7 linked regions of the Callithrix jacchus genome follow. The protein of the gene in region 7 interacts with the protein of the main gene of each other region in a pairwise test. Links are inferred from orthologs where the notes say so. Each region holds a gene or a part of one and is shown on either strand. Other genes may lie near its edges. The genes, in order: MGAT5B, ZNF488, QKI, CSN3, HEYL, RUSC1 and RBPMS.

What was found.
Region 1: the proteins of RBPMS (region 7) and MGAT5B interact in a two-hybrid assay, tested with the Homo sapiens proteins (2 studies listed by BioGRID and IntAct). The two-hybrid records come from large-scale screens. The link is inferred for Callithrix jacchus from reciprocal best matches to the Homo sapiens genes RBPMS and MGAT5B.
Region 2: the proteins of RBPMS (region 7) and ZNF488 interact in binary tests that used the Homo sapiens proteins (3 or more experiments, as listed by UniProt). The two-hybrid records come from large-scale screens. The link is inferred for Callithrix jacchus from reciprocal best matches to the Homo sapiens genes RBPMS and ZNF488.
Region 3: the proteins of RBPMS (region 7) and QKI interact in binary tests that used the Homo sapiens proteins (3 or more experiments, as listed by UniProt). The link is inferred for Callithrix jacchus from reciprocal best matches to the Homo sapiens genes RBPMS and QKI.
Region 4: the proteins of RBPMS (region 7) and CSN3 interact in binary tests that used the Homo sapiens proteins (3 or more experiments, as listed by UniProt). The two-hybrid records come from large-scale screens. The link is inferred for Callithrix jacchus from reciprocal best matches to the Homo sapiens genes RBPMS and CSN3.
Region 5: the proteins of RBPMS (region 7) and HEYL interact in binary tests that used the Homo sapiens proteins (3 or more experiments, as listed by UniProt). The two-hybrid records come from large-scale screens. The link is inferred for Callithrix jacchus from reciprocal best matches to the Homo sapiens genes RBPMS and HEYL.
Region 6: the proteins of RBPMS (region 7) and RUSC1 interact in binary tests that used the Homo sapiens proteins (3 or more experiments, as listed by UniProt). The two-hybrid records come from large-scale screens. The link is inferred for Callithrix jacchus from reciprocal best matches to the Homo sapiens genes RBPMS and RUSC1.

Annotation. Positions count from the first base shown.
Region 1 is NC_133506.1:132,718,812-132,722,708, forward strand, and holds part of MGAT5B (alpha-1,6-mannosylglycoprotein 6-beta-N-acetylglucosaminyltransferase B), read left to right. Parts: intron 1-1,240; exon of another isoform or gene 1,241-1,334; coding exon of another isoform or gene 1,335-1,435; coding exon 1,436-1,548; intron 1,549-3,897. UniProt on the Homo sapiens protein: Glycosyltransferase that acts on alpha-linked mannose of N-glycans and O-mannosyl glycans.
Region 2 is NC_133513.1:41,225,639-41,229,515, forward strand, and holds the end of ZNF488 (zinc finger protein 488), read right to left. Parts: 5' UTR 3,864-3,877; coding exon 2,895-3,863; 3' UTR 623-2,894; downstream 1-622. UniProt on the Homo sapiens protein: Transcriptional repressor. Plays a role in oligodendrocyte differentiation, together with OLIG2. Mediates Notch signaling-activated formation of oligodendrocyte precursors.
Region 3 is NC_133505.1:170,109,414-170,113,310, reverse strand, and holds part of QKI (KH domain-containing RNA-binding protein QKI), read right to left. Parts: intron 3,852-3,897; coding exon 3,552-3,851; intron 2,604-3,551; coding exon of another isoform or gene 2,560-2,603; exon of another isoform or gene 1,331-2,559; coding exon of another isoform or gene 1,305-1,330; exon of another isoform or gene 556-1,304; coding exon 481-555; exon of another isoform or gene 1-480. UniProt on the Homo sapiens protein: RNA reader protein, which recognizes and binds specific RNAs, thereby regulating RNA metabolic processes, such as pre-mRNA splicing, circular RNA (circRNA) formation, mRNA export, mRNA stability and/or translation.
Region 4 is NC_133504.1:127,884,831-127,889,404, reverse strand, and holds the start of CSN3 (kappa-casein), read left to right. Parts: upstream 1-1,669; coding exon 1,670-1,723; intron 1,724-4,574. UniProt on the Homo sapiens protein: Kappa-casein stabilizes micelle formation, preventing casein precipitation in milk.
Region 5 is NC_133508.1:76,171,938-76,176,328, forward strand, and holds the start of HEYL (hairy/enhancer-of-split related with YRPW motif-like protein), read right to left. Parts: upstream 2,957-4,391; 5' UTR 2,853-2,956; coding exon 2,658-2,852; intron 1,323-2,657; coding exon 1,239-1,322; intron 1-1,238. UniProt on the Homo sapiens protein: Downstream effector of Notch signaling which may be required for cardiovascular development. Transcriptional repressor which binds preferentially to the canonical E box sequence 5'-CACGTG-3'.
Region 6 is NC_133519.1:15,756,077-15,759,973, forward strand, and holds the end of RUSC1 (AP-4 complex accessory subunit RUSC1), read left to right. Parts: intron 1-1,121; coding exon 1,122-1,247; intron 1,248-2,924; coding exon 2,925-3,093; 3' UTR 3,094-3,633; downstream 3,634-3,897. UniProt on the Homo sapiens protein: Associates with the adapter-like complex 4 (AP-4) and may therefore play a role in vesicular trafficking of proteins at the trans-Golgi network. Signaling adapter which plays a role in neuronal differentiation.
Region 7 is NC_133514.1:31,625,682-31,629,578, forward strand, and holds part of RBPMS (RNA-binding protein with multiple splicing), read left to right. Parts: intron 1-212; coding exon 213-251; intron 252-1,466; coding exon 1,467-1,529; intron 1,530-3,897.

The sequences.
Region 1 (3,897 bases), on a different chromosome or scaffold from region 7:
CTCCCAAGGCCCTCTCTGCTTTTGGGTTCTCTTCCTCCCTGCCCAAATCTCTTAACAGCTTCCTTTAAATATGGGCTGGGATTTTGTTGTGCTTTTTATTTTCTTCTGCAATTGTGTGTTTTCTTTAATGGACCAAATTTTAATTAAATACTGCTCTGCCAATTTCAAATAATGAATATTAAAATGCATAAAACAAGTCTTGTGTAAAGATACAAACAAGCGTGGAACTGGAGGGCGGGGAGTGGAGGGGCGAGGCCCAGGGGTCTCTGGCATGACATGTGGGGCTCTTTCCGGGTAGCCTGGCTCCACACAAGATGGGGTTCCTCGCCCTGATCTGGGGTTGGTGGGAGGGTGCCCCTTTCAGCTCTGCCAGTTCATCAAGTCCTCTGATTGGTTCAAGGTCCCAGAGGAGCCCCAAGGCTGTGCTGCTGAGCTCAGTGCTCCTGTTTTGGGCCTAGGATTGATGAGGGAAGCAGCAGAACTCTGGGTCTGGGCTTGAGGGAGGGAGGGTTCTGTGCCTCGTTCCCTCCTGTACCCCTGGGGTTACCCCAGAGCCTGGATCCTCGTAGATAATCCACAACTCCGTGTTGAAAGCATGAACAAGAGAGTCCTGTTCTGGCCAGGACAGCACACACACCTGTCACACAGGTGTGAGGGCACAGGTGTAAGGACACCCTGGCCAGTCCATGGTTCAGGCTGATGACCCTGTGTGCACCTGCCTAGGAGAGATGTGTGTTGGGGGGATCGTGGGCACGGGGCCGTGTGGCCCTGCCATGGAGATCTTACCATCTAGTAGTGGACATGGATGATGGTGTCCAAGCGACCTCATGACTGCTGCAGCAAGGCCCCTGCACAGCACCCAGGGTGGCCTGGGTGATTGATGGGATCCAGGTTGGCCTTGCCTGGACCAATTCCTTGCCCTCTGGCTGGCATCGGGCCCTGCTGTGTCCATCACTGGTTCTCAAACTTCAGCATGCAGTGGAATCTTCAGGAGACTTTGCTTAAACAGCTTGCTTGCCCCATCCCCAGAGTGTCTGATTCAGTCATTTGGGGTCTGGACTTGGCACTGGCATTTCCAAGGATTCTCAGGTGATGCCAGCGGCTGGTCTGGGGACCACACTTTGAGGACTGCAGCTGTTAATGAACCAGCTCTGCCTGGAGGCTAGAGCCCGCCTGCCTCACGCCTAAGTGTGCGTCATTCTGCCTCGTGGTTTTCCGTGTGGCTGTGGGCCAGCTCCCTGTAGTCGAGCTCTCTTTATCCTATAGTGAGGGGAGCCCTCCTGGGCCTGGGAGCTCAGCCCCTACCCTTTCGTTCTCCCTTGCCTCCTTCACTCATGTACTCACTCATAAAGCATTTGTGCAGTGCGTACTTGGTGGAGCGCTGGGGCATGATGGTGCTGCCTGCCCTTCTGACATGCTTCCTTCCTCTCTGCAGGCTTTTTGTCCTGGGCATCGGCTTCTTCACTCTCTGTTTCCTGATGACCTCTCTAGGAGGCCAGTTCTCCACCCGGCGCCTGGGGGACTCGCCATTCACCATCCGCACAGAAGGTACCTTGGTGGGGTAAGGGGAGTGTGAGATGAGTGAGGGTGTTTGTGGGTCAAAGAGGAAGTGCCTCTGAGCCTAGCCCTGTTCCTGGCTTTCTGGCCACCCTGTAGATGGATGTGAGTGGTGGGGTCCTGGGCTTGGGCTGTATGACCCTCAGTGTGCTTTGGCTCTGGTCTGGCAGTGATGATCAGGCCTCCTCTGGCCTGGATTCTCAGGCCAGGCTGGGGCCTTTAAGCCAGCATCTCCCGGGGCTCAGAAGAGGCTGCCAGTGTCGCTTCTTTAGTTGGGTGTCGGGGGTAAGAGGTCTCTGGATATGACATCTGTCTCTTTGAGGCATGCATATCCTCGCCTTTGGCCCAGCCTGTGGCCACAGTAGGGACAGGCCCAGCCCTGGGCTTAAATGTTTTATCTATGAGTCCTTGGGACACAGCTCCCCCTTCCAGGCCCCATCACTCCTTGCCCACACAATATTTGCAAGGCAGTGGAATGGAGATCAGAGCATGGGCTTTGGGGGTCTGGGGGGTCTGGGCTTACATCCTAGACATCACCTACCAGCTGTGTGCCTTTGGCCGAGTCACCTGGCTTCCCTACAGAGAAGGGCAGCAGTGACCTTCTGCAGAGATTGGATTGAAGGAGCTCACACGTGGACATCACCCAGCATGGCTGGAGCCACGTGGCATGAGAGTGACCAGCTGGGAGCCCTCCTCCTGAAGCTGGGCCTCTCCGTACCTCATCTCACCCAAGGAGGGGTGGGGGTCAGAACTGAGTCCTGCCCACTGTGTCATGGGGATTCTTCTGATCACTGGTCTAAAGGAGGAACATGGGGTAGTGGGGAAACTGAGGTGAGTGGGTTTCTGGAACTGTTTGAGGGCTGGCTCTGTGAGATTCCCCTGCCCCTTGGCAAAGTCTCTCCTTGAAGTCCACCTTCTTGAATTCGCAGGGCTTGGCTACCTGGCTCCCCTGTTCCTGGCAATGAATATCATAGACATCCCAAGTTGAATAGGTTGTCATCTGGGGCGGTTGCTGAGGGGCTCTTATTATGCCATCTGCCATCTCATCATTAGATTCATTGCTCTGGTTTCACATGCACTTCTTTAAACTTGCAAAAGCTCTCAGAAGGAATCTCACACTTATTAGTCATTCAAGCCTGAGTGTAAGTTAATTTATCCCATCTCTGACTTGCAGAGATTTCTCAATCTCTGAGGCTCCAAATTTTCCTCTGGTAAATGGGATGGTAATACCCACTTCCCAGGCTCATCTCGAAGATACGCTAAGATAAAGCATGGGAAGGGGCCTCAGCAGCATCTGTCAAATGAGCACTCCATCAATACTTAATGGATGTGTCAAGCCTGAAACGGGGGCACTGCAGCAAAGCGTGTTTACAAAAGAGGACCAAGGAGGTGCCAGAATATCTATGTGTGAGAGGCTGAGGATTGAGGTGGGTGGGGGTGGGATGGGGCAGTTGCAAACGTGCACTGGAAGGGTGGCTTGGGGAGGTCTGGTGGGAAAAGTGGTGTATGGGAAGATGGGCTGTAGACAGAGATTCATAAACTACCTGGGTGCCACCCTGGAAAGGGGTGTGCCCATCTGGGTGGGCTGTACAGAGGCCTTGAGGAAGCTGAACCTCCAGAAACATCAGGGGTCTAAGAGGTGGGAGTCGGGGTGGGGAGGAGGGATTTTTGATTGGGCTCAGGTTTTTCTGCTCATCTCCCTAAGGAGGTTGGAGAGTCAAGGCAACACTCCTACCCCATGGCTCTGGCCCCATCTGGGCAGGATCAGGCTCAGTGGCCCAGAATTGCAAGGGGTGTGGGTGCTCTGCTGTGCTCTGTGCTGTGCAGTTTTGCCTGGGTGTCAGGGTGGGGGTCCAACCCCAGCTGCAGGTCTGGGTCTAAAGAGGGATGGAACCACAGAGGGAAGAGCACGTGCCCAAGGTCATGTAGCTGGACTAGAGATGTGTGTGTGTGTGAACAATCTATACAACTAACAACCCAGATCAAGGAACAGAACATGATCAGCCCCCAAGTGTCCCCATGCCACTTCACAGTCATTACTCACCCAAGGATGGTCGAGACCTGACTTCTGATCACATAGAGGAGTTCTGCCTGTTTTTTGGACTTTATGAGAATGAAATTGTGTTGGGAGCTGATAGGGTTTGGCTGTGTCCCCACCTAAATCTCATCTTGAATCGTAATTACCATAATCTCCACGTCTGGTGGGGTGGACTCTGTGGGAGGTAATTGAATCATGGGGGTGGTTACCTCCATGCTGTTCTTGTGATAGTGAGTGAGTTCTCACAAGATCTGATTTTATTTTTCTTTCTCTGAGATGGAGTCTCGCTCTGTAGCCCAGGT
Region 2 (3,877 bases), on a different chromosome or scaffold from region 7:
GCCTCTCGGTGTATAAATTACACTCCAACACAGCACCTAAAGAGGCTGGCAAGGCTGAGCTTTCCTTATCTTTTCTCAGCAAACAAGGGACCTCCCAGTGTCCCTGTGAGAATGGAGATGCTTCATTGGCACCTGCAGGGAGCACCCTGCCCTTTTCTAGATGTGGAAGACAATGAGCTCAGAAGGTCCAGGCTTCCTCCTCCAGACCACACTTCCCACTGCAGCTGGAGAGCATCCCCAGTGCCTCTCCAAGCCAAGCACTCAGTACCCTTTATCCAAACCACTCTCCTGTGAGGCCCTCCTACCCCTGTCCCTCTATTTCCTCCTCCTCACACCCTGACACATTTGCAGGCTCTGGACTGGTCTTTCTCCCCAGCCACTGCTCTGCTGCCTGCATTACAAAATCACCAGCATGTACTTGTCTTTGAGGCTGAGCCAGGGATGCTGAATAAATGAATGGAAATAGACCCACTCACTCAATCCCTTGCCAGGCCAGGGAGACAGGGTGAGTGAAGGAAGCTTAGTACACATGGAGCATTCCAGCTGCACGGCAGCCCCCTGGTACCCTCCACAGCCAAAGGAAGAGTACACACATATTCAGACCCAGCTTCTCACACAGAAATTATTTCCACAATATTTATTATGCACTGACAATATGCAATGCCCTGTTCTGGGTACTGGGGATGCACAGTAAACAAACCAGTCTCTACTCCCAAGGAGCTGACAGTGTGGATGCAGTAAATCAACAAAACGACAAACGTAAAGATGTTTGCAGATGGTGAGATGTGCTGTGAAGGAAGCCACAGGGACACGCTGCTGAGAGAAAGAGGTTGCAGGGCTGCTTTGCGGGGAATCTGGGAGGCCTCTCTAAGGAGCTGACCTGAGAGAAGAAGCCCCGTGGAACCACAGCAGGAGCAGCACCAACAAGAGCTGGACAGCAAATGCTGAATGAAGCCCAGGCTTGAGAAATGGCACAAGAGCTGCGGTCAGAACACGGGAGCAGACAGCAGAACAGCAGCGAGGTGGTATAGCGGAGTCCCCTCTGCCCACTGCCACCTATGGGCATCCTAAGGCCAAGCTCAGCCCGTGAAGGTAGTAGGTATAGAGGGGAGTATCAGAAACGCTGGAAGTGCTACAGCATTATCTGTAATTGACTCATTGTCGAAATGGAAAGGAAACAGCTCTTGCCTCCCGGGGCTATTGTAGGACTCGCTATAACATCTGTATTCTTCCAGTGCTTATGCTATTGCCTGGTACACAGGGAGAGTGAAATGAGTGCTTGCAATTAACATCAAGCAGGGACTTGTTCATAAAGCAGCTGGCAGGTCCTGCCGGGGTTAGGACTGTAAGTGTGAAGGACAGCCACGGGATTGGAGTCATCATCTTACTTACACTTTCAGAAGATGATCTGGTTGTGTGAGTGTGGACAATGGATGGGTACGTGGTGAGAGGCAGGAGTGGAGGGAGCAAGGACACCAGGGCAGCCAGGAGGGAGTGCTGCTGCCTGGAAGGGTGGACAGAGGAGAGCGAGAGAAGAGGAGCAGTCTGGGAGGCTGGCTGAGATCCCCATCTCTCACTCTGCCTTCTTCCCAGCCACAAGCCTGAGCTCTGCACTGGGCGCCCCATTGGAGTGCTGGACACCACACATCAAAAGACCAAAACCTGACGGTGAGGTAGAAACCAGTGCAAAAACGACACTGGCTCAGAAACTCCCCACAAAGGGCTTTCATCAGACTGACCTGTGCAATGTCAAAGAGTATGGCCTGGGCCCCACACATCCTTAGGCACAAGGCCGATGTGGGTACCTACAGCAGCTACTGACTGAAACACAGTAGATAATACATGGTACCTGGAATGCTCCCCAGCCTCACGATCTGGAAGCTGAGTTTTTGCACATGCCCTACTCTTGGAAGGTAAAAGCACATGTGTGTAGGTGGTGGGGAGGGGGTTCTATTTCCCCCATTCATATATTTACAATGTGAAGAACTATAGACCAGGTGGTGGATGGAATTACCAGTCCCAGTTCCTTACCCTCCTGTGGAGGGAATGGATGCTCACTCCCTTGCCACAGCTTCACCAAGGGCAGCCTGCACTTTTCCACTCCTCAGTTTCGGGCCTGACCCTGCCACTTGCATGGGCTGAGAGGACGCTGGCAATGTGACCCAAGCAGAGGCTTGAGGTATGCTTGTTAGACTCACCCTCTTACGTTCCTGGCATAACTGCAAGAGATGCATGCTTGCTCTGGGTAGCCCTTCAGCCAAAGAAGCAAAAGGACATGACATGATCAAATGTGAGACCTGCTGCCAAGCCCAGCCAAGCTCAGCTTAACCTGAGCCAACCCACAGACCCATGACTTTAGCTTGTCTGCCATGGAGGTCTTGTTGATAACAATAGCTGACTAGTATAGACACCATCACAGACCTTGCTGACTCAGCACTCAGGGTCTGCAGGCAGAATGCCGGCCACTTTGCACACACCGGTCATGTGACCCAGATGCCAACCTAAGACACAGTGCTATCATCTCCATTTCACAGATGAGAAAATGGGGGCTCAGCAGGTCTTTGTCCAAGGTCACAGCTAGTATGTAAAAGAGCCCAGATTCGAATCCAGGCTTTTGTGCCTCCGAAGCCCACCATGTGCACCAGAGCTGCCCCCACCCCCTGCCTGTTAGGGCCTCAACCCTGGATTTGCAAAGCCCATCGCTTTATTCATTTCCTTCAAAATACATCACTCAGGTGCATAAATTTTCAAATTATGCCTGAACTGTCCATCTATGGATGCCAAAGGCAGCAACTCCGCAGAAGACCGTGACAGCCCCCTGAAGGCAAGCCCAGGGAGCCCCCCTCTGACAAAGGCTGACTGATGCATGCAGCAGGTCACTCCACGGACACCTGCTAGCTGTGAGAAGTCATGTGCCGGGAGAGGTGGTGGCGCTCCCGGAAGTGCTCCTGGCACACAGGGCAGGCAAGGGCCTCTTCTCTCCTCTTCTGAGAATGTGGGTCAGGCCCCGCATGCTCCTTTTTGTGGTGGGACCGCATGTGGAAGACCAGATCGGACGTCAGGCGGAAGGACAAGTTGCACTTTGCACACCAGTTCTGGGTGGACAAGCCCAGGGAAGTGAGGGTGGGTGGCAGGAGGGCCCACGAAATGGTGGAGGATGATGAAGGTGGGGGCACCTGGGCCCGGGTGTGCTTGAGCCACAGTGTGGGGTCACCCAGGAAAGCGCTGTAGAGTGGAGCATTCTGTGGCAATGCTTGCAAGTTCCAGAAATCACCAACCAAAAGCTTGGGAGTTGAAAGTCGACCCCAACAAGGGAGGTCTGTGGTGTTGAAGAGTCCAGACAGCTCCCCCAGGGTGCCTGCAGACTCCCCTGCAGGGAAGACTGGGGTTGGTGCCGGCCTCTCTGCTGGTCTCTTGGTTGGTTTGCTGAAGGCACTTCTCTGCTCACCTCGTGCTCTGCTGGGCCACACAGAGAAGACTGTGCTGCCAGCTGGGTCTCTGGGGATAGCCTGGGCCAGGTGCAGAGCGCCAGGCTGGCCTGCAGGGTCATCATGATCCCTCTCCTGGGCCTGAGCATCCCCGCACTGGTCCTTCATCCTTGGCAGCTCTGTGAAGGCGCTCTGCCTCTGCTCCCCAAGTGCCTTCGGGGACAGCGGCTGGCCGGATCGGGGCCTGCCTGGGACTGCTAACAGTGCCGGCTCTGCACTGCCCACATCCCGGCCCGCCCTGCTCACAGCAGCCTCAGGGCCCAGGCGGTTCGTCTTCTCCAGCAGCACTGGCTTGTGGCCCCGGCCCAACTCAGGGTCACTAAATTGCCACCTGTTTTCAGCCAATGGGCTCAATGGGGCCCCCTTCCCTGCCATAGTGATCAGCAGGG
Region 3 (3,897 bases), on a different chromosome or scaffold from region 7:
CAGTGGCTCAAATATAAAAGAACAATGGAAACTAAATCTTCAGTTTTCTCCAAAAGTACACAGGAGGCATATAAACCTTTACTTCTCTCATTAAAGCACCATCCGCTCAATTCATTTTGCAATACCATCCCCAAATTTCAGGAATTTTAAAAGGTAAATTTTAGCAAAAGTTATTAATGAAAATAACTGAGGCAACATCAAAATTTAATAGCTCCCCAAATTGACTAATTTATGTTTTAGTAGAAATAAATCATAGTACATAATAATAAAAGATTTAATAAGTTAAAATATGAAGAGAGAAAAAAAAAACAAAACAAAAAACCCAACCCTTAAATCTGTCAATGATCATAAACAAATTTAGAAAAGGAAAAGAAACTGTATGCAGATAAGCAATTACATTTTTCCATCAGGTGTGGTGTTGCAAATTTTATGGACACCCAACGCATTTCTTATAGACAAGAACTGCAGAACTAAACTAACCTCGGTCTGCGGTCACAATCCTTTGGTAAGGATGGACACGCATATCGTGCCTTCGAACTTTAGTAGCCACCGCACCTAGTTAAATTGCAATTACCAAGACAAAGTTAGAAAACATTCACAAAGGGGAAAAAAAACATTAACAGCAGGTTTATCAAAATGGATTTCAAATGTTCATTTACTACAAAAGTTTAAGAAATACGTTAAGGCACAGTAGTTTTAAAACTAACCATAATATGTCATGTATATATGCATCTATTAATATTGCATTCATTTCAAACATCTTGGCCTTAACCTATTTTATCCATTCATTTACAATCCCCAAGTTACAGTATTTCACGAACTCTATTAGATCAAAACATATTTAAGCTTTACTAGTCACATATTCACTGAAGTGCCTTTCTTGCAGCAGGACTACTTAAATAATGCCATGTTTAATACTGACAATTATTTGCTAACCTTAAGACCACTTCAAGAGTTTATCACTTAAAAAGGTTTAAAAGCAATTCTTAAAGCCTATAGATTGTGGTTTTAAACTCTGAGTCAATAAGTATGAACTGCAATGAATTAGGTGATTAGTAAAGCAAACAGTATAGTACACTTAGCAGTCAGTATACTACTATACACTCCTTTATAAATTACCATTACTGTGTAATATTACAGGCTAAACCAAATTAATAACATAATTTTACTTTATATCTATGTGCAAAAAGTGCAAGTAAGTCACTGACTGCTAGGCTAAGCTTTTTTCCCCCGGAGGCTGCTGAGACTAAGCATTTGTTAAATTCAGATCTGATGAGGGTTCAGTTAAGACCGTTCTTGAATTCTTAGCCTTTCGTTGGGAAAGCCATACCTAAAGATAAAAGGAAGGGAATTAAAAATTAGTTATCAATGAAGATTTGATGCTAATACCAATCTCCTCACTACTACCAACACACATGTCTGCATCTGTTTTGAAGGGCACTGCTTATTTTAAAATAATTTAATGTGAGACGTGACATAAATAGCATGCATGTTATCTGTGTGCAAATTTATTATAACTTAGCAATTTAAAATAATTTTCTCAGTTCTCCAGGTGGTCAATATCATATTTTACTGCTTAGGTGGCAAGGCAAGAAATACAATTAACCAAAATAGATTTTTTTCATTTGGCACTCATTATTATTCACCTTATGAATGCCAATTAGGGATATGCACATTTTGGTCTTTATTTTGCCAGGCTACTAATTAAGTTTTTATAAGTAAAAATTTTCCAACAAACAAAAGGCATGAAGCTTTACAATGAGAAACAACTTTACTGCAGTGCCTCTTGCGATTTCTAAGCAGTAAACTGGTCCATCACCCTTATTCATTTTAGGTAAGGTAATCAAATACAAGTAAAATTCCATGTGGCAACATCAGGGGGATCTTGCATTGAAAGTGCTGGAACAGCAGCTGGTGGCTAAGAGTCCCAGCCCTGCAGGAAGTCAAGAGTCATAACTCCTCGGGAACAGATGCTGTGGGTGCCGCAGAGAGGAGTTCTGGGAAAAGGAGCATGCATGGGACCACAGGACAGAGTATTAATAGAAAGGAAAACTTAAACGAGGTTACAGGTTACATGTTATTTTAAAAATGCTTCAAGAAATGTGCAACAGAGACAACCCTCTCATAAACAGTTCTGTGGTATAATTCTGACCTGCATTTACTTTATACAATGATTTAAACGGAAAACATGTACAGTGAAATGTATTTGTTCATGAAACAAAGGGCACCTGAGTGCATGCACACACACAGATAACATACAGAGCAACATGGTTTTCTTTACTTGAACAATGAATTTTCTAGTTTAAATCTTAGTGTTCCAGTTCATTAAATATTTTCAAATTTTTATAAATCAGTATTAATGCTGGGGAAAAAAAACCTTAAAAGATCAAAGTCCTAAAAGTCAACAGCATGCATGCAGCACCAAGGTCATATACAATTCAGGAAAAAAGGTATTCAAATTTTGTCTGGTAAAACAAAGGGGTTGCACAGAAACAGTTTGTTCCACATTGACTGGTCGTGTTATAACAGCTGCTGTATTCTAGTCCTTCATCCAGCAAGTCAATGGGCTGAAATATCAGGCATGACTGGCATTTCAATCCACTCTATAAAAAAAAGGCATCAGTAATGTCTTTTTCAAGCACACCACTTTTTGTTCATGTAAAACCAAGCGTTTATATTATGATTTTAATTTGTGCCTTAAGTGAGATTCTGAATTCAGTGATTTGGTATTTATTTAACGATTTCACACGGTACTACTGAAATTAAGAGTTCTCTCTCATGTTCAATATGACTAGGACTTCAAAAGACAAGAAACGAAAAATCTTAAGAATGAAACTACAGTCATGCACTGCATAACAACATCTGGTCAATGATGGACCACATATAGTGGTCCCATAAGATTATAATGGCTATACCACACAGCCTAAGTATGTAGTAAACTCTATCATCTATGTCTGTGAAAGTACACTCTATGATGTACACCAAATGATGAAATTGCCTGACAAGGCAATTCTTAGAATGTATTCCCATTGTTAAGCGATGCATGACTCTATTTACCTGGTCCCTTTCATATTTTAAGTGATCACAAATATTACAAAACACATACAATAATATGGATTTTATAAAGATCTCAAAATACTTTAAAATGGAAGTCTAAACTTTTTCCAACAACTACATAACTCTGTGAGACAAATAAATCTAAGTTTGAGAAATGGAGCTGATGGAGGTGACAGGCCAATGGCGTGGGACCTAAAACTCAGAATGGCATCAGTAATGTCAAATGTAAAAAGTATCTGTTAAAATGTACACAACAGATTTACCCAACCAAACTGAACCTGAGTTACCAAAGTAGATCTGAATAAATTTAAGGTGCAATTATTTCAAAGGGGAACCCTTATGAGAGGCTGAAATAAAACAAAATGTAGTTTTCAGTCTTTCCTAATGGAAAGTTGTCTTGCCTCTCCAAAACTGATAAAATCATTTCAAAATCTGGGGGAGCAAAAATATTTATAAAGAAGAATGCTGTTAAGCCCATGGGGAGAAGAACTTACCTAATACACCACTAGGTTCAATAGGATACTCAAGGATTGATGTAGCTGGTGCCAATGTGTAAGGATACTCATAGGGTGTATAGATTAAGCCAGCTTCGGGCCCTGGAGGAACTATTGCAGCAGTTGGGTGAGGAGTTCCGTTTGGCATGACAGCGGTCTGTATTTGTCTGATCAAAGGCATTATGGTAGGGCCAGCTGGCGTAGGAGTACGCAGGGCAGCTGGTGGGAGAACCGGCGCAGGCCCAGTAATAATCCTTGGAGCAGCCTGGGCTGTTGCTGCAAGAGAAAAGGCAAGGGCTGCTACAGTAAGCAAGGAAATTTAGAAAGAAGTGTAGAGACAGCAGTA
Region 4 (4,574 bases), on a different chromosome or scaffold from region 7:
TTTTGAAGTCACTTTAGTAGACAGCTTTCTTAATAATTATTGTTGCCTGAGAGTCAGATGCTAATGGAGTCTGATGTACTTTCTATCCCCTACCTGAGGATTTAATTCTGTAAATCTCTTTTGTAAAGCTCAAGTTCAGTGATTCAAGTTTATATGAGTATGCGAATGATAATAGCTGCGACAAGCTGAAGTTAGTAATTACTTCCTAAATATAATATATACTTAATATATAAAAAGTTGGGGGTATCACATATTATTGTCTGAAATGATGCTTCATTAAAAATCAAATAAGCAGGTATGACACTGTATATACTCTTAGAAAAATAAGGCTAATTTATTTCTTTAAATATTTTAGTCAAAGCCACCATATTGTCATCACTATACTTCTTATTAAAACAATAAAGTTAATTATATCAGTTCTGATTTCTGGAGAAATATAAAGAGAACAGTTTCATAACCTTCCACTTGCCATTCCATCCTACATACTTCTATTGTATTGATCACAGAATTATCGAATTTTAGAAATCTCTAAGTTTCTTACATTTTTTACAAGTAAGAAAATGTAAAGCCCAGGAAAGGGAAATCACTTAATCAAAGTTACACAGGTAGAGATAAGGCCTGGTCTAGAACTCAGCCCTCCAAAAAATATATGGTCATATCACTTTCTAGTCTGAAAACACTGAATTGTCTTCTGTTGCTTATAAAGCCATGCCTAGCTTTTCAACCAGTCATTAACTTAAAGATGTCTACTTTTTCTGCTCTTAACTTTCCTTCTAATCTTATATTCTTCTTCTCATACAAGATTCCAATCAAAACGTTCATGGCTGTTCTCAAGACTTTCTCCTCTACTTGAAATATTTCCCTCCCTATTAAACCCTGCATAGGCAAGCCTCACCTATATGTCATTTTTCCATGCAAAGGCTGCTGCTTCTCTCGACTGAAACTCTCTATTAAAAGAAAACTACTTTTGTGGCATCTTCCACTATTATTCTTCTTACAGTTATTTGTATATGTTTCAACACTCCTCTAAAATTAATGCTACTTATTGTCAAGGCCTGTATCACCTTGATAATCTCAACATTTGATGTAGTAATAATTTGATAATTCCATTAATATTGTCAAAAATAAAATTCAAACAATTTATTTATTTATTTATTTTTAATTATACTTTTAGTTTTGGGGCACATGTGCAGAATATGCAGGTTTGTTACATAGGTATACATGTGCCTTGATGGTTTGCTGCATCCATCCCCCCGTCATTTACATTATATATTTCTCCTAATGTTATCCCTCCCCAGTTCCCTCAGCCCCTGCTATCCCCACCTCCCCTTCCCACCCCCTACAGAGCCCTGTGTGTGATGTTCCTCTCCCTGTGTCCATGTGTTCTCATTGTTCAACAGCCATTTGTGAGTGAGAACATGTGGTGTTTGGTTTTCTGTTCTTGTGTCAGTTTGCTGAGAATGATGGTTTTCAGCTTCATCCATGTCCCTGCTCCAAGTCTGGGTTTTTACACTGTTTGTTAAAATAAATTTTCCACTTCAGCTAAATCTATCTGTAAATCTGGCATTTTTTCTTAATCAAAGCAAATACGGCATTCAAGTCACTCCCAAATTTCTAGTAACAAATTCTTTGAAATTAATTTTTTAAAAATTTATCTTTAGGTGCAATAATGAAGAGTTTTCTTCTAGTTGTGAATGCCCTGGCATTATCCCTACCTTTTTTGGTAAGTTAATTTCATCTAACCAGTTTTATTGACTTTAAGAAAATTTTATTTAAGGGCTCTAACTATACAATTTCTAAATACAGTTATACTTCATAGAATAAAAATCTACATATTTGTTACATTTTTAAGGTTTTTTTTTTAACATTTATTTCTATTATGAAATCCAAATCATTATTCTTTTGGATATCCATTTTGTTCTGTGAATTAAGAAATCACACTTAATCATATATAGGAAACTTTTTAAATTCTCATACTATAGAGAAAATACTTTCTGAGGGAAAAACAATACTGAAAACATTTTAAAACTGTAAATGCATTAAAGATAATCCAGAAAGAATAAATATGGAAATCATAGTCTGGGATCAGAAATTATTTTAATTAAGTTCCTATCTCACCCAGACTCCAATGTCTTTAGGAAACAAAATTTTTCAAAGTTCAACTTTGGTAAAGCTTTTTCACAAGTTCCAAAGACTTTGATAGTTCTGTCTTTAATATTCAAATAATATATTTTGTTATACTCTTCCTCAATATGTCATTTGACTGATCCCTTTCCAGGGATCCCTGGCATTATCTTGAATTATATGTAAAGTTTTAAGGCTACTGGACCTAGAAAATTTCTGCTTCTTTTCTTTTTAATTTCTTGACTTGTTTTTATTGTTGTTACAGCTATTGCCTCTTTATATTTTCATGTTCATCTGGGGATTCTAGGTACTGACAAAGGAGGCAAGCATAAATAATAGTATATGTCCTCCTCCTAGATTACCAAATATTGGAGCACACCAATTCTTGTTCTGTGAATATCTATAATATTTATTTATTATAAGTTTAGACTTGCTTTTAAGTTAACATCTGTTAATTAAATCTATTATCTGCATGTTGTGTTTGTGTATAACATGTCTATAAATTTAATTCTTGGAATCAAAATTACCTTTTAAAACTTTGAGTTCTGGCCGGGCACCATGCCTCACGCCTGTAATCCCAGTTTTGGGAGGCCGAGGCAAGCAGACCACAAGGTCAAGAGATCAAGACCGTCCTGGCCAACATGGTGAAACCCTATCTCTCCTAAAAATACAAAAAAAATTAGCTGGGTGTAGTAGTGTGTGCCTGTAGTCACAGCTATCAGGAGTCTGAGGCAGGAGAATCACTTGAACCCAGGAGGCAGAGGTTGCAGAGAGCCAAGATCATGCCACTGCACTCCAGCCTGGCAACAGAGTGAAACTCTGTCTCAAAAAACAACTTTGAATGCTGTAACTCAAATACTTTGTGGCCACCTGAACATTTACAAATTAGGTTTTCTCTTTGAGTAACAGGCTTGAAGTTTAAATCATAAAATGATCTACAACCCCCTGCTGCAAGCTACCTCTTTCCTGAGCTCCTGAGCCAGATTTGTGCCTCAAACATTCCTTCCCATTTTCCCAAAGGCTGCAGGCCTCAAAGACAGGAACAAATAATACAGAAAAAAAAAATAAAGTTCATAGATTTTATTATTCTATCTTATGAGTAGTCAAAATTATACAAATTTAAACATCATTGTGATACCATGTTGTATGTGCTCTTTTACCCCTTCCCCAGAATAAAAATAGTCAGATAAAATTTTTACTAGCAATTATGCACTGAACTGCATAAACATGAAGCCTACTGGTGGCATAATTTGGCAGTATTCTGTACCATGATTTGATGATTTCTATTCAAGAATCCCTGAAAAAATCTCATTTGTGAAAAATCATTTTATGGAAGCAATGAAAATTATTTAAAAAGGCTACTTGTATACAGATGTCATTCAACTCTCTCTTTATAATTAAAATTTTATCTTAAATAGATAAGAAATAAACATTTCATGACATAATCATTGATTATTTAGTTATCAACTATAAAAACCTAAGTATGAAACCTATGACAGAAATGAAAAAATAATATGAAATATCACACTTTTATAAAAATGAAGGATACTTTTTAGACAAGCATATATAAGGAATACCTGACATAGGTTGATATTACATTAATATATCTAGATTGTCAGAATTTTTGAAGTAAACATTTTGTAATGTTCATATTACTTCTTTTTTAGGCAGAGGGGAGAGTCTTGCTCTGTCACCCAGGCTGGGGTGCAGTGATGCGCTCTCTTGTCACTGCAACCGCCACCTCCCAGGTTCAAGCAATTCTCCTGCCTCAGTCTCCTGAGCAGCTGGGATTACAGGCGTGCACCACCATGCCCAGCTAATTTTTGTATTTTTAATATAGGCAGGGTTTCACCAAGTTGACCAGGCTGGTCTGGGACCCATGACCTCAGATGATCCGCCCACCTCTACCTCTCAAAAGTGCTGGGATTATAGGGTGAGCCACTGAGCCCAGCCTCATATTACTTCTTTTTATTTTAAACTAATGGTTTAATATATTTAGAGAAAAGCAAGACTTTGTCTCAAAGCAAAAAAATTTATTGCCTTCTTAATTTCTGATTTTCTGTGCTCACACTTTCCAAAAGGTTTCTAGAGTCATTTTATACCCAAGAAATAGATGTGAAATATCCTAAACCTCTTTTCAAGAGTTTCTAAAAGCTTTGGAGTTTTTAGAGTTTTATAAATACTTGTCCATAAAAATTGTTTTCTCACTCCTGATTCTCTAAATATGTTACCATCCAAAACTAAGAAAAGCACTATAAAAAAAAAACAAAAGAAAGATGGTTTTAAAAACACTATTATTTGTATGTTAAGGTTATGCAAGAGGCAATATTTTAAATCTTCTAAGTAAACCTTAGGAATCATCTTAGTATGAAAGCAGAGAAAGAAAAAAAGGCTCAATGCTCCTCTAACTTTTAACAATGTATATTTAATAAAAACTGAATAGAAACTGT
Region 5 (4,391 bases), on a different chromosome or scaffold from region 7:
TCTCTCTCTCTGTCTCTCTCTCTCTCTCTCTCTCTCTCTCTCTCTCTCTCTCTATCTCTCAGATGGAGTCTTGCTCTGCCACCCAGGCTAGAGTGCAGTGGCCTGACCTTGGCTCACAGCAACCTATGACTTCTGGGTTCAGTGATTCTCCTGCCTCAGCCTCCTGAGTAGCTGGGATTACAGGTGCACGCCACTATGTCCAGCTAATTTTTTTGTATTTTTGGTAGACGTGGGGTTTCACCATGTTGGCTAGGCTAGTCTCAAATTCCTGACCTTGTGATCCGCCCGCCTTGACCTCCCAAAGTGCTGGAATTACAGGTGTGAGCCACTGCACCTGGCTGCTCTGCCTGTCTCTTAACACAGTAGTGTCCCTTCTGTGTCACTTGGCACTCTGCTGCTCCCGGCACAGGGGTTTGTCACCTCCATGGTTTTAACCACCATCTTCAGAATGCCTCCTAAACCAGCTCTTCTGGGAATCCAACTTCAGACTCAATGTGCCTAAGATCCAGCTCACTGTCTTATCCCCAGAGCACCTGCTCTTCCTCTTTTCTCTCTCAGGAAATGCTTCCTAAGCTTCCCAGGTGAAGTCTGAAGATCAGACGCTCCATGGGAGTCCCTTGAGGGCAGATACTAGGTCTAGTTCATGGCTGGTCCTGTGGTGGTTTTAGTGAACATCTGTGGAATGACTAACTTGTTCTCACCAGCATAAGGGAAGGCAGAGGACCTGTGACCTATGCCTTGGTGCACAGGGTGAGAATCTCTGTGGCTGAGTCCACTGTCTGATTCCTCACTGTAGTTCCCCCACCCTAACATGCTCGATGGATGGCAGAGTGCTCACTCCCTGAGCAGCCTGTTCCACTTTCAAATCACTCTGGAAATGTCCGTAGTGCAGAGGGATGGTGGCTTGAGAATCACACACTCCCGTGCTGCTACTTAATAGCTGTGTGATCTGGGATAAGTTACTGCACCTCTCTGTGCTTCAGTTTCCTTACCTGTGCTATGGGCATAATAATCCCTACCTTTCAGGATCATTTGGAGGAGTCAATTCAATGGGATGATGGACATAAAGCCACCTGAGTGTAAATTTCCATTCTTTATACCCTGCCAGTGGCAGATATTGGTAAATGACCACAGCATCTCAGGCAGCCGCTACCAATCAACAAGAGATGCCATGAGAAACGAACCTTATCTGCCGCCCACACAGTATTTCCTTTAGCACAATCAGCAATGTCACATACCTGTTTCTCAAAGGCAGTGGGGACCAGGCGTCGCAATTCAGAAAGGCTGCTGTTGATGCGGTCTCGACGCCGTTTCTCTATGATCTAAACAGTCACGACAAGAAGTTATTCACAGGTGCGTCACCACAGTTTCTAAAGTGCCTCGATAGACATCAACTCATATTTACCCACACAGTATTCTTGTGAGGGAGATCAATCTAGTCTTACTTTACGGTGGAGAAAACCAAGGCTCATAGAAGGACAGTAATTTGCTTAAGGTCACACAACAAGAAAGTGCAGAGGTGGGAGCACAACTCAGATCTCCTGTCTTGGTCTATAGGGGTGATACTCAAGATGTTTAACCACTGGTACAGAAGGGCACAGCCAATCAGAATGAGGACACCAGGCCCTGGAGGTCCCTGCTGGGTCAGCAGGAGGGTGACCTTGTAATCTGCGAGGTCATGAGGTGGTTTAAGGAGTCTCAGGTGTTGCTTTCTCTCTCTCTCTCTCTCTTTTTGAGACGGAGTTTTGCTCTTACTGCCCAGGCTGGAGTGCAATGGCACGATCCTGGCTCACTGCAACCTCTGCCTCCAGAATTCAAGCAATTCTCCTGCCTCAGCCTCCCGAGTAGCTGGAATTATAGGCATGTGATCACGACGCTAATTTTATTTTTTTGTATTTTTAGTAAAGACGAGTCAAGCTGGTCTCGAACTCCTGACCTCAGGTGATCCACCCACCTCAGTCTCTCAAAGTGCCAGGATTACAGGCATGAGCCACCACACCCAGCTAAGGTGTTGCTCTCTCCAGCTGCAGAGCCCTTCCATTCACACACTCTCATTCTCCCCTCATAATACTGGTAGCAGAACACTAAGAGCAGGACAGATATGACCCATTTTACAGATAAAGAAAATAAGGGCTGGAAAGAAGTGGTTGGCCTAAGGGCTTACAGTCAGTGATTGTCAGGCAGTGCAGAAGCACAGCTGTATGCTGGGAGGAAAGTGGGGCTGGACACAAGGGACAGACAGCAGTAGCAAGGGGATCCTTCTGCTGTCCCCTCCCCCACCCCAGCACACTGGGAGGGGATGAAAGTTCTGGACTGAGAGAGGAGACAGAAGATAGGATGGTGGGCAGGCTGGAACAACAATCATAACCGCCTATTGTGTGTCTGCTATTGTTCAGAGTGTTACATTAATGCACTTAACCTGCAAAGCAGCCCTTTGAGCTGGGCCCTGTCATTATTCCAGTGACACAGAGGAGCAAATCAGGCCCAGAGAGGTTAAGAGGCTTGCCCAGAATCACCCTGATAACTACTGGCAGGGCCGGGATTTGAATCCAGGCAGTTAGCTTAGAGTGAAGTTTCTGCCCAGGGTTCTCCCTGCCAGACTGCAGGGGATTCATTTTGTAGGGCAACTCAGAAGCTGAGATGAGACGGACACTCACCCCTCTGCGTTTCTTCCTGGCTTGCATCTGCGAAGGGCTGGGGGTGGACAGCGGCCTGGCCATCTGGCTGGAAAGGAAGAGAAAAGCTGATTTTTCAGGGTTGAGGGACTGTCTCCTTGGCCCGGGCGGACCTGGGACCAGGAGGAGCCGCAGGGTCCCAGGAGGAGCAAGCTCTCCCCTTTTCCCCCTGCTCATTTCAACCCGGGCCAAGTCCTCTCACGCACTCTGGGCCCACTCTGGGTCTTTGGTTGGGATCTGCTCCGCCTCGCCCCTGGCCCCTCGCGGCGGCCGTCGGGGGTGGGGGAACAGCGCTCAGCAGCGCGGCAGCTCAGGCTCCTGCAACCCGATCCCTGGGGCGGGGCGGGTGAGGGCACTGGCCGGCGGCGGCGGGGACGGGCCGGGAGGGTAGGGTTTCAGAGGGAGCCGCTGGGAACTAGCGTGGAAAGAGCAGATGCCGCCGCTTCCCACGGGCCGGGCGCGCCGGCCGCCCGCCCTCCGCCCGGCCTGCAGCTGCCACCTCCTCCCACGCAGTGCGGCCGGGGGCGAGGGGGAGGCGGCATCTGGGTCACAGGCCCCTCTAGGATGCTCTGGTACACTGTTCTGGCCTCCTAGAAGGCCTGGTCCCCCCAACCTCGGCCTCTCCTCCCACTCTGGGCCTTCCCTCTGCAGCATCGATTGAATGATGGGTGGTTGCTCACACCCCGGGAGCTCCCATTACAGAGAAGAGGCTTAGCCCCAGGGCTTTTCCTGCCCAGACTCTGACCAAAATAATCTCCAGCCCAGCTGCTAACCCTTCTTAAGGTTTTCTGCTCCAGAAGCTCTCTTAGAAGGTGAGGATTCGCTGGGTCCACTAAAGCATCATTCATTTGGCCAACATTTCTAAGGCTCTATTCAGGTCTGGTGGGTGCTGATGCACTCAGCCAGACCCCAGCCCTTCCTCAGCTCGGATCCAGTGGGCAGACACTGCACCAATAAACAACAAACAAGGTGACTCCCCTGCCATTTCGGAAGACACAAGGCCACACATCTGAACATGAACCTGCAAGCTGGCCTTCATCCCCACCCGCTCCTGCTGCCCCTGGGTGGAAAGCTAATGCTGTCTTTGATTCCTCCTCCTCCTCACCCCTACCTCATTAAAACCTGCCCACACTATGTCTAAAATACATCTCACGTCTGTCCTCTTCCTCTCCGCCACTTCTCTCAATGCTGCACCTCTATCAGCTTTCATCTGGATGAGTGCAAGCGCCTCTTGTTGGGTCATTTTGCACCCTGTTTTACTCTCTGCAAGCCTATCTCCACACTACAGGCAGAGTGATCATTTAAATCTGATCTTATCTCTCACTTAAAACTCCTCAGTGGCTCCTCAATTTTTATTTGTTTGCTTTGAGATGTAGTCTCGCTCTGTTGTCCAGGCTGGAGTGCACTGGTGAGAATTTGGCTCACTGCAATCTCCACCACCCGGTTTAAGTGATTCTCCTGCCTCAGCCTCCGACATAGCTGGAATTACAGGTGTCCACCACGTCTGGCTACTTTTTGTATTTTTAGTAGAGACGGGGTTTCACCGTGTTGGCCAGGCTGGTCTCAAACTCCTAACCTCAGGTGATCCACCTGCCTCAGCTTCCCAAACTGTTGGGATTACAGGTGTGAGCCACTGCACCTGGACCCATTGTTTTTTAAGATCAAGGCCATCATCCTTCAGGTGGTCCAACTGGCCCCTGGCAACCCCACTAGACT
Region 6 (3,897 bases), on a different chromosome or scaffold from region 7:
CTCTCTGGTCTCTCAGTGGGCTCATTTGAAACTCTCTAGGGACGATCCTTTAGGGCAGAAGGTGGCAGTCTGTTTTTCTACAGCCATGAGCTAAAAGTAGCTACATTTTAATGGTTATATTAAGTGCCTACATAATGATCTCGATTTTCTCCCTTGGCCCTAGGGCCTAGAATACAGTTATCCTTAGTTACATGTGAAGAATTGGTTCTGGGACCCTCACATGCACTCAAGTCTGAGCATACTCAGTCGATGTGTAGGAAAAGACAGCCCTCAGTATATGCGGGTTTTACATCAAGAATACTGCATTTTCTGTTCGGTTAAAAAAAACCCTGCATATAGGTGGACCTGTGCATTTGAAACCTACTTTGTTCAAGAGTCAACTGTCTTTACTATCTGGTCCTTTAGAAAAAAGAAAAACAGCCTGGGCAACATGGTGAAACCCTATCTCTACAAAAAAATACAAACATTAGCTGGGCATGGTGGCACGTACCTGTAGTTCCAGCTACTCTAGGAGGCTGAGGTGGGAGGATTGCTTGAACCTGGGAGGTTGAGGCTGCTGTGCCATGATCACACTGTTGCATTCCAGCTGGGGTAACAGAGTAAGGCCCTGTCTCCTTTCCAAAAAAAAAAAAATTGCCAACCCCTGGCCCAGCATGCTGGCTCACACCTGTAATCCCAGCACTTTGGGAGGCCGAGGCGGGTGGATCACCTGAGGTCAGTAGTTCGAGATCAGCCCAGCCAACATGGTGAAATCCCGTCTCAAAAAAAAAAAAAAAAAAATTTAAAAAAAATTGCCAATCCCTTCTCCAGGCCTCAACAAGTGGTGGCTCTTTAATGGTTTGAGATACTCTGTAGTGGCCCTTTCATCCTGAGCTTGTATAGGCCCTGATGGGTCCATAGGTTCCTTGTGATGTGCAGTGGTGTGGACCTCTGTTGTCATCCCCCTAATCAGCCTGAAAGTGCTTGTGTCCAACAGTTACCACTCTGCTCTCAAAGGTGACTAACCCCTGACCTCTTTTGAACCACAGTTAGGCCCCTTAGCCTCTCTCTCCCTCCAGACCCCAGGGTTCTTGGGTTTTCTGAGGGTGGGTTGACCTGTGACCCTATGTCCCTTCTTTTAGGAGACCATCTAGCTGGCTGCCCCCAACAGTGAGCATGTTGGCTCTTGTGAAGCGGGGGGCACCTCCCGAGACGCCTTCTCCTCAGGAGCTTGAGGTCTCAGCACCCAGGGTGGTGCCAACCCATAGGTAAGGAGGATTGGGGGGAATGCACTAGTGTGTAACCGTATGTTATCACAGCATGGATGGGAGGTAGCGTAAAAAACCCTGGGCTTTAAAATAAGACAGTGCTTAGTGTGCATTGCAGCTTTTCTGTTATCATGTGACACTCATTCGTCTGAGCCTTGGATTCCTTTTTTTTTTTTGAGATGGAGTCTCGCTTTGTCACCCAGGCTGGAGTGCAGTGGTACAATTTTGGCTCACTGCAACCTCCGCCTCCCAGGTTCAACCGATTCTCCTGTCTCAGCCTCTTGAGTTGCTGGGACTACAGTCGCCTCCCACCACGCCAGGCTAATTTTTATGTTTTTAATAGAGACGGGGTTTCACCATGTTGGTCAGGCTAGTCTCGAACTCCTGACTGCAGGTGATCAGCCCGCCTTGGCCTCCCAAAGTGCTGGAATTATAGGCATGAGTCACTGTGCCTGGCCAGGATTCTTTCTATAAGAGGATATGATACATTTTTTGTGGTTATAGAGACTAAACATAATTTTTTTTTTTTTTTGAGATATAGTCTCACTCTCACCCAGGCTGGAGTGCAGTGGCATGATTTCGGCTCACTGCAACCTCCACCTCCCAGGTTCAAGTGATTGTCCCGCCTCAGCCTCCTGAGTAGCTGGGATTACAAGCACCCACCACCATGCCTGGCTAATTTTTGTATTTTTAGTAGAGACGAGGTTACACCATGTCAGCCAGGCTGGTCTTGAACTCCTGACCTTGTGATCTGCCCGCCTCGGCCTCCCAAAGTGCTGGGATTTTAAGAGTGAGTCACTGCGCCCAGCCTTGCTTGTGTTTTAGAGAGATCTGACTGCTATGGGGAAAACAGGACTGGGGAAGAGGTTGAGAGAGATTTAGGCAGACAAGTTAGATTGTCCAGAGAGATCGGATAGAAGCTTACACTAGGATGGTGGCAGCAGAGTTGAAGAGAGAGTACATGGGGGCTGGGTGCAGTGGCTCACGCCTGTAATCCCAACACTTTGGGAGGCCGAGGCGGGTGGATAACCTGAGGTCAGGAGTTTGAGATCAGCCTTGCCAACATGGTGAAACCCCGTCTCTACTAAAAATACAAAAATTAGCTGGGCATGGTGGCAGGTGCCTGTAGTTCCAGCTACTCGTGAGGCTGAGGCAGAAGAATTGCTTGAACCCAGGAGGTGGAGATTGCTGATATTACACCACTGCACCCCAGCCTGAGCAACAGAGAGAGACTCTTGTCTCAAAAAAAAAAAAAAAGTAGATGTAGTAGGAGGAGATCCAAGCAAGTTTTGTTGATGGATTGGATCTGTGGCATGAGATGCCCAGGTTTTACCAGGAGTAAGTGTGGGTAGAAATTGGTGCTGTTTACCACTACAGGCAACATGAAGAGGGACTGGTTTTGAGGGTGAGTCATTTTGTTTGATATGTTGAATTTGAAGCACCAGAGAGGAGTGTAAATAGTGTCAAATAAGCAGCTGGAGTGGGTTTGGCACTTGGGAGAAGGCTGAGACCCCAGATAGAATAACCACGCTGATGAATGGTTCTCAAGTCTCTTCCAGAGCCCAGTCAATATTCACTGAGCTGAATCCACAAGGGCACTATTTAGAGGTGAGGCCTGGGTACAGCTGGGCACCCTCACCTCACTTCATTCCAGTATCTTCCTCTGGCTCCTCTCAGGGCAGTTCGGGCTCTCTGTGACCACACAGCTGCAAGACCTGACCAGTTGAGCTTCCGGCGTGGGGAAGTGCTGCGTGTCATCACCACAGTGGATGAGGATTGGCTCCGCTGTGGGCGGGATGGCGTGGAGGGTCTGGTGCCTGTGGGGTATACCTCCCTTGTTCTGTAGCCCTGGGACCCTTTTCTGCATATGTGTCTCCCTCCTGGTGTTCACTGGGAATGGCCAGTGAACACCATCCCAGAAGCATTTTCCCTGTCTGCAAAATGACATTTCTTCCCACATCTGTTTCTGCTAATATTTAAAATAAACATTCCTTCTTCCCTCCTATGCCCACCTGTAAGGTGAAATCTGCTCTTCTTCCAAATATATAAAAAGGGAATTGCCTTCCATGCAATCCCTTTCCTTTTTCCCATCTGTATAAGGGAATGTCTTCCTTCCTATCTGCAAAATGGAAATCTAGACCTCCTTCTTCATCCGTAAGTGGACTGTGCCAGTACAATACATGCCTCAGCCTCAGCCCCCGAGCCTAGAAGGACCTCACTCCTTCCTGTGTATGGAGTCTTCCCCACTTCGCCCCTCCCACACTGCCTGTGTTGATAATGTACTCACCATGTACTAGGTGCTGAAGCCTGGACACCCCTGGTGGGTGGGCCTGTGGTGATGGTCTGCACCCTTCCTCCTTTGTCCCAATAAAGTATGGGAGATGAATGTGTGTCTTTCACTGTGGGTTTCAGGACATAGGCTATGGGGGAGGGGAAGAAGGACCTCTTATGGGAGACATAAGGCAGATGTTTATTCCTAGCCCAGGTTTGGTTCGTAATGCTCCCTGAATAGAGTAGTCCCCTCATTGGTTCCTGAATCTCACAAGTGCTTCTCTATTCTATGACTTTATCTATTTTGTTAAGACTGACAGGATAGGAGCCTGCATAAATATAGGGGAGGAGAGAAGACTTGGCTCTTGAAATTGTAGTT
Region 7 (3,897 bases):
TAGACTGATTTTTTTAAAGGCCCCAACAATGCAAACAGGTGTGTGTGTGTGTATGCGCACATGCACATGCATGTGTGTAATTTGCTTTCCCAGATAACTTGGGAGACATTTGTAAGACAAGTTAGGTAATCAATAAAGAATTTATTTTTACATGAACAAGATGGTATTAACAGTTACTTTTTTGGCTAAATTTGGTTTTTCTTTATTTTCAGGGCTATGAGGGTTCTCTTATAAAGCTCACATCTAAACAGGTAAGAATTTCAAACTGGCATATAAAGATCACTTTTTTACTTTCTTCAGGAATGTTGCTGGGGCTTGATATTCTTTTTTTATTCACATTAGAATTTGAGTTTTGTTTTTTTTTTTCTGGTCTTTAACATTAAGAGTGAGTGAGATGTATTAGGAATTAGCACAGGAAAATGTTTCATAATTCTGTAGTCTTCAGCTGGAATTTCAGGGACTGTCCCAGAGCAAGATAAACACAGTAGTTTATTGAGATTGATTTGGTGAATCAGTGAAAATAATGGCTTATTATCTAAATTCACTTTTATTCCCAAGTCTTTCTCATTTCTTTTTATGATGTTAAACTTTTACAGTTTGTTTAACATCATGTCAGATAGTGAAGGATCATGCTGTCTGTCAAACCACTAAAGTAAGGCAGAGTCCCAAGTCTAGAATGGAACAGAGAAGGTACAAAATGGAAGTGGTAGTCAGTGATTCTGACAGTTTCCTACAAGTTTCTTAGAGATCGTAGCTATATTCTTTTTTTTTTTTTTTTTTTTTTTTTTTAAGTTAAACACTTGGCATACACACCTCTCCTCCAGTCACTGTTCTATCTCTCTGTTTCATCAAAAGAATGATCTTGGAGGCACACCCTTCTGGATTGATAGATGTGTGGAGGCCAAAGGGGTTATGGCCTTCCTGTATTTACTCAGAACAGCGTAATTAAGCACAAGATTTTTAAGGCATCCCTTGGGATTTGAGATAGGAATGTTCACTTTGTCATTTTGGTCATGCAGTGAGAGTCCAGGGGTTTTATCATTGTATCATTGTATTCCTTGCACTTACAGTGTACCAAAAGGTGATTCGGTTCTCTTTCCATTTTAAAAGATGAAGAAACTGAGGTACAGTGAATTTGATTTAGGAAAGTAGAGCCTCTCCGACCCAAGTTTTCCTCTATTCCCTTCTTCACTGCTGTTCACCTTTCAACCACTTCTAGATTTTTTTTATGATTCTCTAAATCCCCAGCTGTGCCCTTGAAGAACCACCCTCACCATCCCTTTGATTCATGTTAGAAATTTGGCTAAGCCACTGAGTCATGATTCTTCGGTATTTCGCTTTCTTATTTCTACCCATTGCCTGTGATCATTTCTTTGTCTTAGCTTTTCAGTTTGATAGCACCCTTAACCCAGAAAAATAGATATCGTCTGATTTTTTTTTTCTTCATATTTCTCTTTTTTCCTCAGCCCGTAGGTTTTGTCAGTTTTGACAGTCGCTCAGAAGCAGAAGCTGCAAAGAATGCTTTGAATGTAAGTATTAATGATGTAATTGTAGGGGGTTTCCATATGAGGTGATGGGAAGTAGTGGAATCTCTTTGGACGGGAATTCAAGTGGAAAGAATATGACTGCTCAATCTAAGAGAGAGGGATTCATCAATTTAGCCCTCTAAAGAGCTTTTTCCAAGAATTGTGATCAGATATGCTCAAAGTACCTGACATCTGATGATGTGGGTCTTATTTTAATCCAGCCCCATCCTATCCCATGGTGGTGTGTAGTGCTGCTTTGTTTTTTCCAGAGGAGATCATTGAGAGATTGGCTTGGTTGTCATTGTACTCTAAATGGCTACGCCCAGAACAGATAGAAATCCTGGCTTTTTTTTTTGAGACAGATTCTCACTCCATCACCAGGCACCAGGCTGGAGTTCAGTGGCACCACCTCAGCTCACTGCTACTTCCGCCTCCCTGGTTCAAGCAATTCTCCTGCCTCAGCCTTCCAAGTAGCTGGGACTACAGGTGCGCGCCACCGCACCCTGTTAATTTTTTTGTATTTTTAGTAGAGATGGGGTTTCACCATGTTGGCCAGGTTGGTCTTGATCTCTTGACCTTGTGATCTGCCCACCTCCCAAAGTGTTGGGATTACAGGCGTGAGCCACCACGCCCGGCCGAAATCCTGGCTTTTCTTATTTCATGAGGCTTTCCTTTTAGATATACAGCTTAAAACAAACAAACAAACAAACAAACAAACAAACAAAAAACTGGTCATAGCCTTTATTCTGGTTGATTAAAAATTTACTTATAAGGCTTTCCCAAAAGGCATGTGTGTTAGAATAAATTACAGTCATTTGTAATTAAGTAGATATACCTGTATTTGGTTTGTAGATATGTTGTTTGCTGTGTGTTTTGAGACTTTTGCCAGTATTGTTTTGGTAAATAAGTTTCTTCTTTCGTATGTTGGAAAATTAAACAACTTAAGGGAATTAAGCTTAGAGAAGGTGAAAGGAAGCAGAATGTAGTTTCAGATGCTGAGGATGAATCCTCATGTGCTGAGTCTCTGTGAGGTCTGGCTCCATCATGCTCTAGGCAGTTGGCCTAAGTGGCTATGAGCAAGGGCTGATTAAAGCACTAAGAGTGTTAAGGATGCTTCCTAAAAGGCAAGCAACCACTTGACTGGTTGCAATACAGGTACCATTTTGGAGGCTTCTGGGAACTTGTGTTTGGTCTTTGTGTTGCTGTGTTACCTTAAGGTACCCTACTGGCTAGCTGCTCCTTTGAGCAGACCATGTAGAGGGGTGTTGGAAATACCTGATATAGGTAATGACTTGGAGGTCCAAGGAAAAGTCTTTATATGAGTCTGTTTACTTTGTATAATAGTGTCATTGATACACAACATTGAAAGATTTTAGACTTTGGAACAAAAATGTGTACACTCTGGGAAGAAGCTGCTTAATTGTTGTTGTTGTTTTCATATAAAACACATAGGAACACCTTAGGATTCCAGGAATTCCACAGTCCAGAATTTTTCTGGATTTGGCTGGTCAGAATAGCTGCCTACTCACTCTGTTCCTCTCCTGTAGAACAAAGCAGAAACCAGTTATTTATTGAACACCAATGGTATACACTGAACCCCGGTATATAATGGAATGTTTTGATTCTGCATTAAATACATAAAACCTGAATTTTCCCAGTATAATGACACTTTAAACTTGAAAATAGAACCACAGTTTCAATTTAGCAGAAATTGAAACTTTATTTTAACTAGGTGGACACCTTCTAAATGCAGAAATATTCTGGGTCCTTTAAAGTTATGTTAGATGAAGTTTTCACCATGTTCTTTTCATTGTTCTTACTAAGGAAGTAACAAGCAGTTGAAGCATCACAGACGTGGCTCTCACTGCTTTACTGTAGTTCTCATGTGTGTATAGAGATGTCACTGACTCATTTTCCGAGCAATAGGCTTTTATTGTGACCTCTCATCTGACAAGGCAGCATTCCCTTAGGTGGTAGGTTGCATTTTTGTTTTGTTTTGTTTTTTTGTAAGATAACTTAAGGAGTTTGTTGGTTTGTTTGTTTGTTAAAAAATAAAGGCAGGTTGCCCGGCCTGGTCTCAAGCTCCTGGACTAAAGCGATTCTCCTGCCTTGGCCTTCCAAAGTGTTTAGATTACAACCTTGAGCCACCACACCCAGCCCGAAGGTTGTTTTTTAATATTTAAATGGTAATGGTCAAAAAACTGTGTTTCCTTGCCATACTAACTAAAGTACAGTGAACATAATTTCAGTTTTTCTTGGTGCCCAAAGGTTACTACAAATAGCAGGTAATGAACCTACTATGAGAAAATGATAGCGGTGTTTAACCCTGTTTTCCCCTGTGCCAGCTGGTCACAGATCACTGTTGTCTGGT